Oryzias latipes: one gene and its partner. The protein of the gene in region 2 interacts with the protein of the main gene of each other region in a pairwise test. Links are inferred from orthologs where the notes say so. Each region holds a gene or a part of one and is shown on either strand. Other genes may lie near its edges.

The links.
Region 1: the proteins of bccip (region 2) and rpl23 interact in binary tests that used the Homo sapiens proteins (3 or more experiments, as listed by UniProt). The link is inferred for Oryzias latipes from reciprocal best matches to the Homo sapiens genes BCCIP and RPL23.

What each region holds. Positions count from the first base shown.
Region 1 is NC_019866.2:25,931,540-25,935,459, reverse strand, and holds rpl23 (60S ribosomal protein L23), read right to left. Parts: upstream 2,789-3,920; 5' UTR 2,694-2,788; coding exon 2,681-2,693; intron 2,058-2,680; coding exon 1,974-2,057; intron 1,720-1,973; coding exon 1,591-1,719; intron 721-1,590; coding exon 607-720; intron 514-606; coding exon 431-513; 3' UTR 401-430; downstream 1-400.
Region 2 is NC_019877.2:11,824,515-11,828,434, reverse strand, and holds the start of bccip (BRCA2 and CDKN1A-interacting protein), read right to left. Parts: upstream 2,200-3,920; 5' UTR 2,089-2,199; coding exon 1,948-2,088; intron 1,792-1,947; coding exon 1,717-1,791; intron 1,632-1,716; coding exon 1,551-1,631; intron 1,409-1,550; coding exon 1,322-1,408; intron 1,110-1,321; coding exon 922-1,109; intron 829-921; coding exon 660-828; intron 1-659. Other genes in the region: uros (uroporphyrinogen-III synthase), read left to right, coding at 2,236-2,265, 2,890-2,964, 3,042-3,125, 3,207-3,303, 3,399-3,473. UniProt on the Homo sapiens protein: During interphase, required for microtubule organizing and anchoring activities. During mitosis, required for the organization and stabilization of the spindle pole.

The DNA of each region.
Region 1 (3,920 bases), on a different chromosome or scaffold from region 2:
CGGTTCTGACCAATAGAACTGAGGAACAGCAGTAAGTCTGGGATCTTGACTTCTTTGAGCCACTTCCTGTTGGTAACGTTTGGGTTCAGAGCGTTTATAGTGGACTGACTTGTTGGTTTGAAACTTCCCAGCAGCACTTCTGTTCCAGATTTACCAAGACACCCAACTTTGAAGGAACCAGAACTGTTCATGTTTGAGTCAACACCTTCCTGTACCTGAACAGGACCAGTTCTGGACTTTAAAGCCGGGTCAAAGACACCTGCAGTGTAGAAGCAGGCGGCACCGCAGGTCCGTCCTCCCCACCGCCATCAGACGGCACATCTGTGAGACCGGGTCGTCACACTGATGTGACTGAGACCAAGTTCAGTTCTGGTTCCACACAGTCAGACGGAGCCGGTCCTCTGGGTTTATTACTTTTATTGAAAACGATTCAGGCGATGCTGCCAGCATTGGAGGCGATTCTGGGCCACAGGTCTGCACACTCTTTAGCAACTGGACCTGTGATGGCAGAACCTGCAGACAGAACCAGAAAAGCTGCAGTTCAGCCAAAATCCAGACGGTGGAAGAGAATTCAGTGAAAACTAAGGAAACCTGGAACACAACCACCTTTCATTTCTCCTTTGTTGTTCACGATGACGCCGGCGTTGTCCTCAAAGTACAGGAACACGCCGTCTTTTCGCCGATACGACTTCCTTTGTCGTATGACCACCGCTGGATGCACTGCAACACAGCAGAGCTCCCGTCAGGGTACAACCAACCAAAACGGCCGTCCCTCCTGTATCGCAGGAGATCGGTTCTAAAGTAACCCAGATGAGAGAATTCCAGGTGTTTTAGGCTGTGGACGTCCTCCACACGCCTTCTGCATGTTTGGCAGAAACATCCAGACTTTTAAAGGTCTACCCTTCATAGAAACAGACGTCCAGAATAAAGACGGGATTTCTGTGACGTCTCCAAAAACCCAGACATTTGTCATCTGTTCCCCAAAATGCAACCAGAAATATTCCTCCAAGAATGAGATCCTCTACCCATCTAGAGAAACCATCTGAAGCTGCAGACGTGTTGCTCTAAAACACAGAATAATGTTGGATCTAAAGCAGAGTCTGGAGGAAGACGAGCTTCTCCCTTTCAAAGTAAAACTATTGACTTTACAAAAGACAGAAGATGCGTTTAGTGAAATAATTCTGACATATATACACCTACATTAAATAAAGGTATGAATTCAGGAACATCCTCTCTGAGTTCTCTATGCCGTCGTGTTGTTGAGGCGTCTTCCTTATTACTTTGAGGTTGGAAACCGGAGAAAATTTTCAGGATTTGAGAATCAAAGCATCAGCCGAGTTTAGGTTTTGTTTCCTGCTGGAGTTAACCAGGAAGTTGAGCCTGGCGTTGTTTGAAGTGATTCGGGTCTCCGCTTCTAAATGAAGTGATTACAGACTTTTATTTCATGCCTCAAACAATCGTTCAGACATTAGATCAAATAGGAACCGTGGTTCTGTGGATCGGGTGACGGCCCTACTAGAAAATCCTACAAACAGACCAAGACCGGTGAGCCGAAGGACCCACAGGGACCCTCCTGCTGCCCACACCCACCTTTTTTCCTGAGCTCTGGCTTGCCCTTCTTCACTGTGGCCATCACCATGTCCCCCACGCCTGCGGCGGGCAGGCGGTTCAGGCGGCCCTTGATGCCCTTCACAGAGATGATGTAGAGGTTCTTGGCCCCTGAGGAGCAGAAGCGTCAGTCTGAGCTGTGACCTACGTGGAGGGAGTGTCCCATCCCTGATTGAGAGCGGTCAGCCACAGGCGGACGCTGCCGTCTCACCCACAGTGATGACTTTCTCTGCCCTTCATCGACAACTCACTGAGCCACAGCAGACCCAGCGAGTGCTTTTGGAAGGACGGCGCTGCCAGCAAACGCAACGTTTGCACCGGTTCCCGCCAACTTACAGCCTCATGCACCTGCTGGGAAGGCGTACCTGTGTTGTCAGCACAGTTGATGACGGCTCCCACAGGGAGACCCAGGGAGATGCGGAACTTGGCCCCAGAAGACCCACCACGTCCTGGAAGGAGAAAGACCAGTTAGACCCTCGTAGATCACAGGTCCGTCCTGCTGCCGTGAAACCCGCAGGTCCGTGTCTGCCGGCAGCAAACATCCACAGAACCATCCACGGGGTCCTGCCCCCCCTCAGGAGGGCCCACCGGCTCCGGAGCCAACATTCAGGCCACGCCACGGGTTCGAGGCCGGTAAACCAGCGGACAGGAGGTCTTTTTTGGAGGATTACGCCGATGGGGACCGACTGTTCTGAACGACTGAGTCCCTCACGGCTAACGAACCGGAAGCTAACATGCTAACCTGCTGGATAAAAGGCCCTGGATCCGGTCTACGTGGACCAGGTCAGACCAGTTTCCATCTCACCGCCATCGTTGACTGTTCGCAGATTATTCTTCACCTACAGGTTTTAGAGCAGGACGTCTCGAACTGGACTGGAACACGCGGAACGTCCGCAGTGCTAGCAGGAATCCACGGGGGAATCCGCGCTAAGCGAGGAATAATCTGCGCTAAAACCTCCGAAATAAAGCTGTGGAATCATGTAACCGCTTCGTCTAGCGCTCAGGAGCCGAACCAGAACCCGATGGAGCGACACCAGCCTAGGATGGACCTGGATGGTCCAGCGGCTCTTACCTCTCTTAGACATGGCTGCGAGAGAAGAGACTGGTTCCGAAAGGAATTATGGGAAATCGCGCTGCACTCATATTTGCTTGGTCACGTGGTCAATGATGTTGCTTTTAGGGACTATTGGAAATATCTGTACCAGTGACCATCGGCGTCCTTCACAATCAAGTGTTTAACAAAAGCAGAAAGGCCACAGCGTCTTACATTTTAACATGAACGAAGTTAATTATCGGTTTACAGAACAGCCGACTTTTTTCCTGCCCGGAATAGAAGGAAAAAAACATCCAATGAATGGGCAGAGAAGGCAGCTGTGGGCGAAGGGTCTACATTTTCACTTGGTTTGGGTTTATTGGTTAGGAGCTCCTATTCGTACGTAAATTACCCAAAATAACGCTGAACTTTTCTCTTGGCCACTCTTATTTTGAAAGGCAAAAATAATATATAACATATTCATACATACACATAACATATTCGCTGTTCCACTGACTCTGGAACCCCAAATTGTTCTTTATAAAGAAATAAATCGGACCTTGTGCAATCACACAACCAACCAATAAATCTCTCATAAATATATAAAAAGATCATGAATTGTGAAAAAAAACTACACATAGATTTTAAATTAGCCTTTATTATTTATATTTCATGTTTTTATATACACTTTATTTAATTGTGCATGTATTTCAATTGTTGTTTTACCTGTTTATTGTTTTTCTTATACTGTATACATGTTGTGCAGCGACCTTGGGCCTGTTGCACAAAAGTACGATAAGGGATTAAGCCAGGATATCTTGGTGATCCTGGCTCAATTGATCCTCAATCCGGTTGCACTAAAGCTGGATAGGGGGCAGGAGGATATGTTATGGGATAAGTTACCATGGAGATTTATTCTGTGGAGTTAGCCTGCTCCAGACCAGGCTAAATTCCAGGATCTAGTTAATCTCATCCCTAATGTCAGTCAGCAGTCGCCACAAATGGAAACCAATAGTTATTTCATTGCTCACTATACATTGTTATCACATATAACTAGACCCGCTGTCATTATTTAAACGTTTGTGATCATTAATTTCAATCATTTTGGATAAATAATGAGTTTTAGATGATGTTGCTATCATTAGATAATTTACAGTTTCCCATAGACTATAAGGCTATATGTAACATGATAGAATATTAGGGCCACAGAGGGAAAAAAGACAAGTCATAATATTGTAACCAGTTGTTTTAAAGGAGGACAGTAGTTAAAATGACAGAT
Region 2 (3,920 bases):
GTGCAATCTGTTTGGAGTGACTGACTGGGTATGGAGTGATTTTAGTGCCATTATTCCAAGCGCAACACTCACTGTTTTGAGGATAAAATTTTGTGCGGTCAAATAATCTTTTTGTACCTTAAGAGAGAAAAAATGCACTTGAAAGACAAAAATGTGTACAAACACAATTTTAGTCTTCAAACAGATAAATATGTACAAACAAAACAGTTTTCACTTGGGAGAATTTCTCTCTTCTGCGCTCGAAACAAAGTAGGGCACCGCGTTACAAATGTGCCCCGAAAGCCAGCCAATCACAGACATGGACATGATGGTTGACATTGAGTGGTCAGAAATTCCAATCGTGCCCAAACCTGATCCAGCCTGATCCAATTAGCTCGCAGATCCAGTCTCTGAGCTGATTGACTAGTTGACTTGTGATTTTCAGTTTCAAGATCAAACATTGTTTTGTTTCAGCATATTTTTGAGTTTCAAGTGCGTTTTTCTCAAAATGTGCTCAAAGTTTTTGAGCACACACAATTTGTAAAGCTTTACGATCAAACCAGTGAGTGTTGCGTGTGGAATAATGGTACAAAAATCCCTCCATAAGTGCGAAGGAATGTACAGTGACAGATGATTATGAGGAGGTTTGATTTGCTGTTCTGCATTTCTGCAACTTTTACCTCATAAAAAAATTCCTCCTCAGCATTGACAAACATGTAGTCCTCTTTAGGAACTCCTCCTCTGGACTGGATATTCTTAGATGCTTCTTTGCAGGTCTTGCTAATCATCACGCAGTAGTGGCACCTCCCACTGGGCTTATTAGTCCTCTGAGCGTCAGCTATCTCCTCCCTAAAATTGAATGAAATACATTTCAAAATTGCTCCTGAAAATATTTTCAATATACAAGATTTAGGTTGTCAAAAAAGTTAAAATTGAACTGACTGGAGTTGTTTATGCAGTGGGAGGGCGATCTGTGGGGGTACGTTGATAAAACGCTCACTCAGCAGAAGCCCAACGGGCTTATTGGTGTCATTGAAGATTTTCTCAAGCTGTTCTGTCAGAGCATGAGGAGCGTTCTTCTCACACTGCTCCAAAATCAGCTCCTTCACTTCCTCCACACATTGCACACCCTGAAAAGAATGATGGACGCCAGATTTTTAGTCAAAATTAAAAGAAAAAATAGTTTTTTAGAACATAGTTTTTGCAGAGCAGCAGTAGTTATTTAGAAATTCCCCTCTGAGTTGGTGTGGAGTAAGCCCATCCCCACTTCCCATCATCAGGATAATGTTAAAAACACACACAAAAAATCATATTTTCCCCCCATTGATAAATAAATTCTTACCTTTCTCTCTGTGAGGTTTAGCATAGAAATAAAACCGAACACTTCATCTGCATCTTCATCATCACTGTCTTCTGGAACCTCAGCTTGCTAAAGCAGTGGTGAACCAAGATATTGTCAATTAAAGCCACGAATGAATGAATGAATGAATGAATGAATGAATGAATGAATGAATGAATGAATGAATGAATGAATGAATGAATGAATGGGAGGGAGGGAGGGAGGAACATACCCTGATGACACTTCCAATGTGGTTCTGCTGGATGATCATGTCTGTCAGCTCTGATGTGTTTACATGAGCTTTCAGGAACAACTAGATCCAAACATAGACAGCAACATCAGTGAAAGCTTTATAACACCCCCTACAGCCTTAACCAATGATAAAGACTACACTAAACCTGCTGCAGCAGCTTTTTTATGCCATTGAAGTCGTTGTTTGACATGGTGTGAGCTTCAAAATCCACGGTGACTTCCTGAAAAGGTGTAAACAAAAAGGGAGAAAATAATTTATAAGATACTATGTAAAAACCAAAACATGATGTGAGCAGATTATCAACCATCTGTTGACATTGCTAGCGTCTAATGCTAACTGGCTTTGCTAACAAGTCTGGGTTGGTGCCATAACTCACCTCGTTAATTTCTTCTGATGCGTCGCTGTCCTCCTCTTCCTCCTCGGAATCCCCATCATCCTCGGGATTCTTATCAGAACTCTCGCTTTCCTCTGGGTTTTCACCCAAACCTACTGCTCTCTTTTTTGCCGAGGACGCCATGCTGCACCATGAAACACGCGTGTGTCATCTGAAGTAGGCGGAGCTAGTCGATGGAAACAGGAAAGAAACTAGTGTCGGGAAGCCGCCATTACGGCTCCTGACTCCGTTCATGTCAGCTGCCAGTGGATCCGGTTTGACACTAGCAAAATGGGAAAATACCACTGCAGTTTCTGGGGGGTGAATTTTTTAAAATGTAATTTAATTAAAACAGTTAACTTATCTAATACACTATGATGTTTAAAATATAATACATATCTAAAAAATATACATGTGTAAATAGAATACAATTTTTTTTAAGAACTTTGTTGAGTGAATGAAGAAGTTTGGTCTTTGTAGCTCCCCCCACCATACCCAATGATTGATAGGACCTCGTCGCTAAAAACAACTCTGACTGCGTTTATTATTTTTTATTTATTATTATTTATTTTTGCATTGTTTCTATTACTATTTTGAGGGTAAATTAATGGAGTAATTACCTAAATGTCACCCACATTTCACATAAACAGGAAGCTAACTGGAGCTGCCTACGTCATCTGCTGCTTCTTGCTAATGTAAACACTTCGACTCCGAGGATGAGTTACCCATCGGCACTAAACAAAGTATCTCAATAAATTGGTTTTGTGTTTATAATAATGAACAACCCTCTAACCGTGACTCAGCAGCTTCGTTATCAGGAGGCTGCATGTAACAGCTCAAGGGTGTAGCTTAGCTAAATCAGATCCTAAACCTTTCTGCAGTTCTGCGAGTCCCAACTGTCTTTCTAGCATTTTCCCTTGTTTATATTACCATTATTTTTGAAAGGACATCGCCAGAATGCACGTGTTGCTTCTGAAAGAGCCCAGAGAAGAAGCTTCTGGACCTGATCCATATCTTAAGGTAGATGCAGGTTTCAGTGTTCTGGTAAAGTTCTGCATTAATTATAGTGGCTATATTTCTTTGATTTTATTTTGAAGGAGCTGGCATCACATGGACACAAAGCTACACTAATTCCAGTGCTGTCATTTAAATTTGTCTCATTAAACACATTGGCTGATAAGGTAAAGCAATTATATTTACATATATATTTATACCTGAAGTTATTAGATATCGATTGTTTATGATTTTTGTTTCTTTTTCAGCTTTTTCAGCCAGAAAAACATGGAGGCCTTATATTTACTAGCCCCAGGGCAGTGGAGGCTGTGAAAATGTGCTTAGACGCAGAAAAAAGAAAAGAAGGTAGAATATCACAAATAGAATTAACATTTCTGTTCTTCTGCTAGGCTTACTACTTCAAATAAATTGATGTAACATGTAATCATCTCTTGTTATAGAGTGGAACAAGTCTCTGAGAGATCAGTGGAACACCAAACCCATCTATGTGGTTGGAAAGGCCACCGCTGCATTAGGTGAGTGATCAGGTTTTTTTCTTTTTAGGGTGTTTTGCGATCCATGAAAACCAAATATATGCCGAGTGTGCCAGGCACATGGAGCTCACACTCTTATGTTAAGTGATCTGAGGCTTTAGAGCCAATTGTGCACAAGTAATTGTTTGCTGCCACACACTTTGAAAAGAATAAGGTGAAAGGAAACCAGGTGCAAGATGTTCCTAATGTTTGCTCCACTTTTACCACCAGCTGACCTTTTTTTATTTCTTATTTAGTTGGTGTTTGTGTGTTTTAATGGGATACAGGAAGCAGGTAAAAAAAAATCCTTAAATTTGTCCTTCCTTTGACCCAAACCTAGAGATACAAAAAAAAAATGTACATAAAAAAATTATCTGTATTTCAAGGCGGGGCAGAACATGACTCAAGATCCCTTTAAAAGTTGGTAAAATCTCATTTAAAAAAATGATA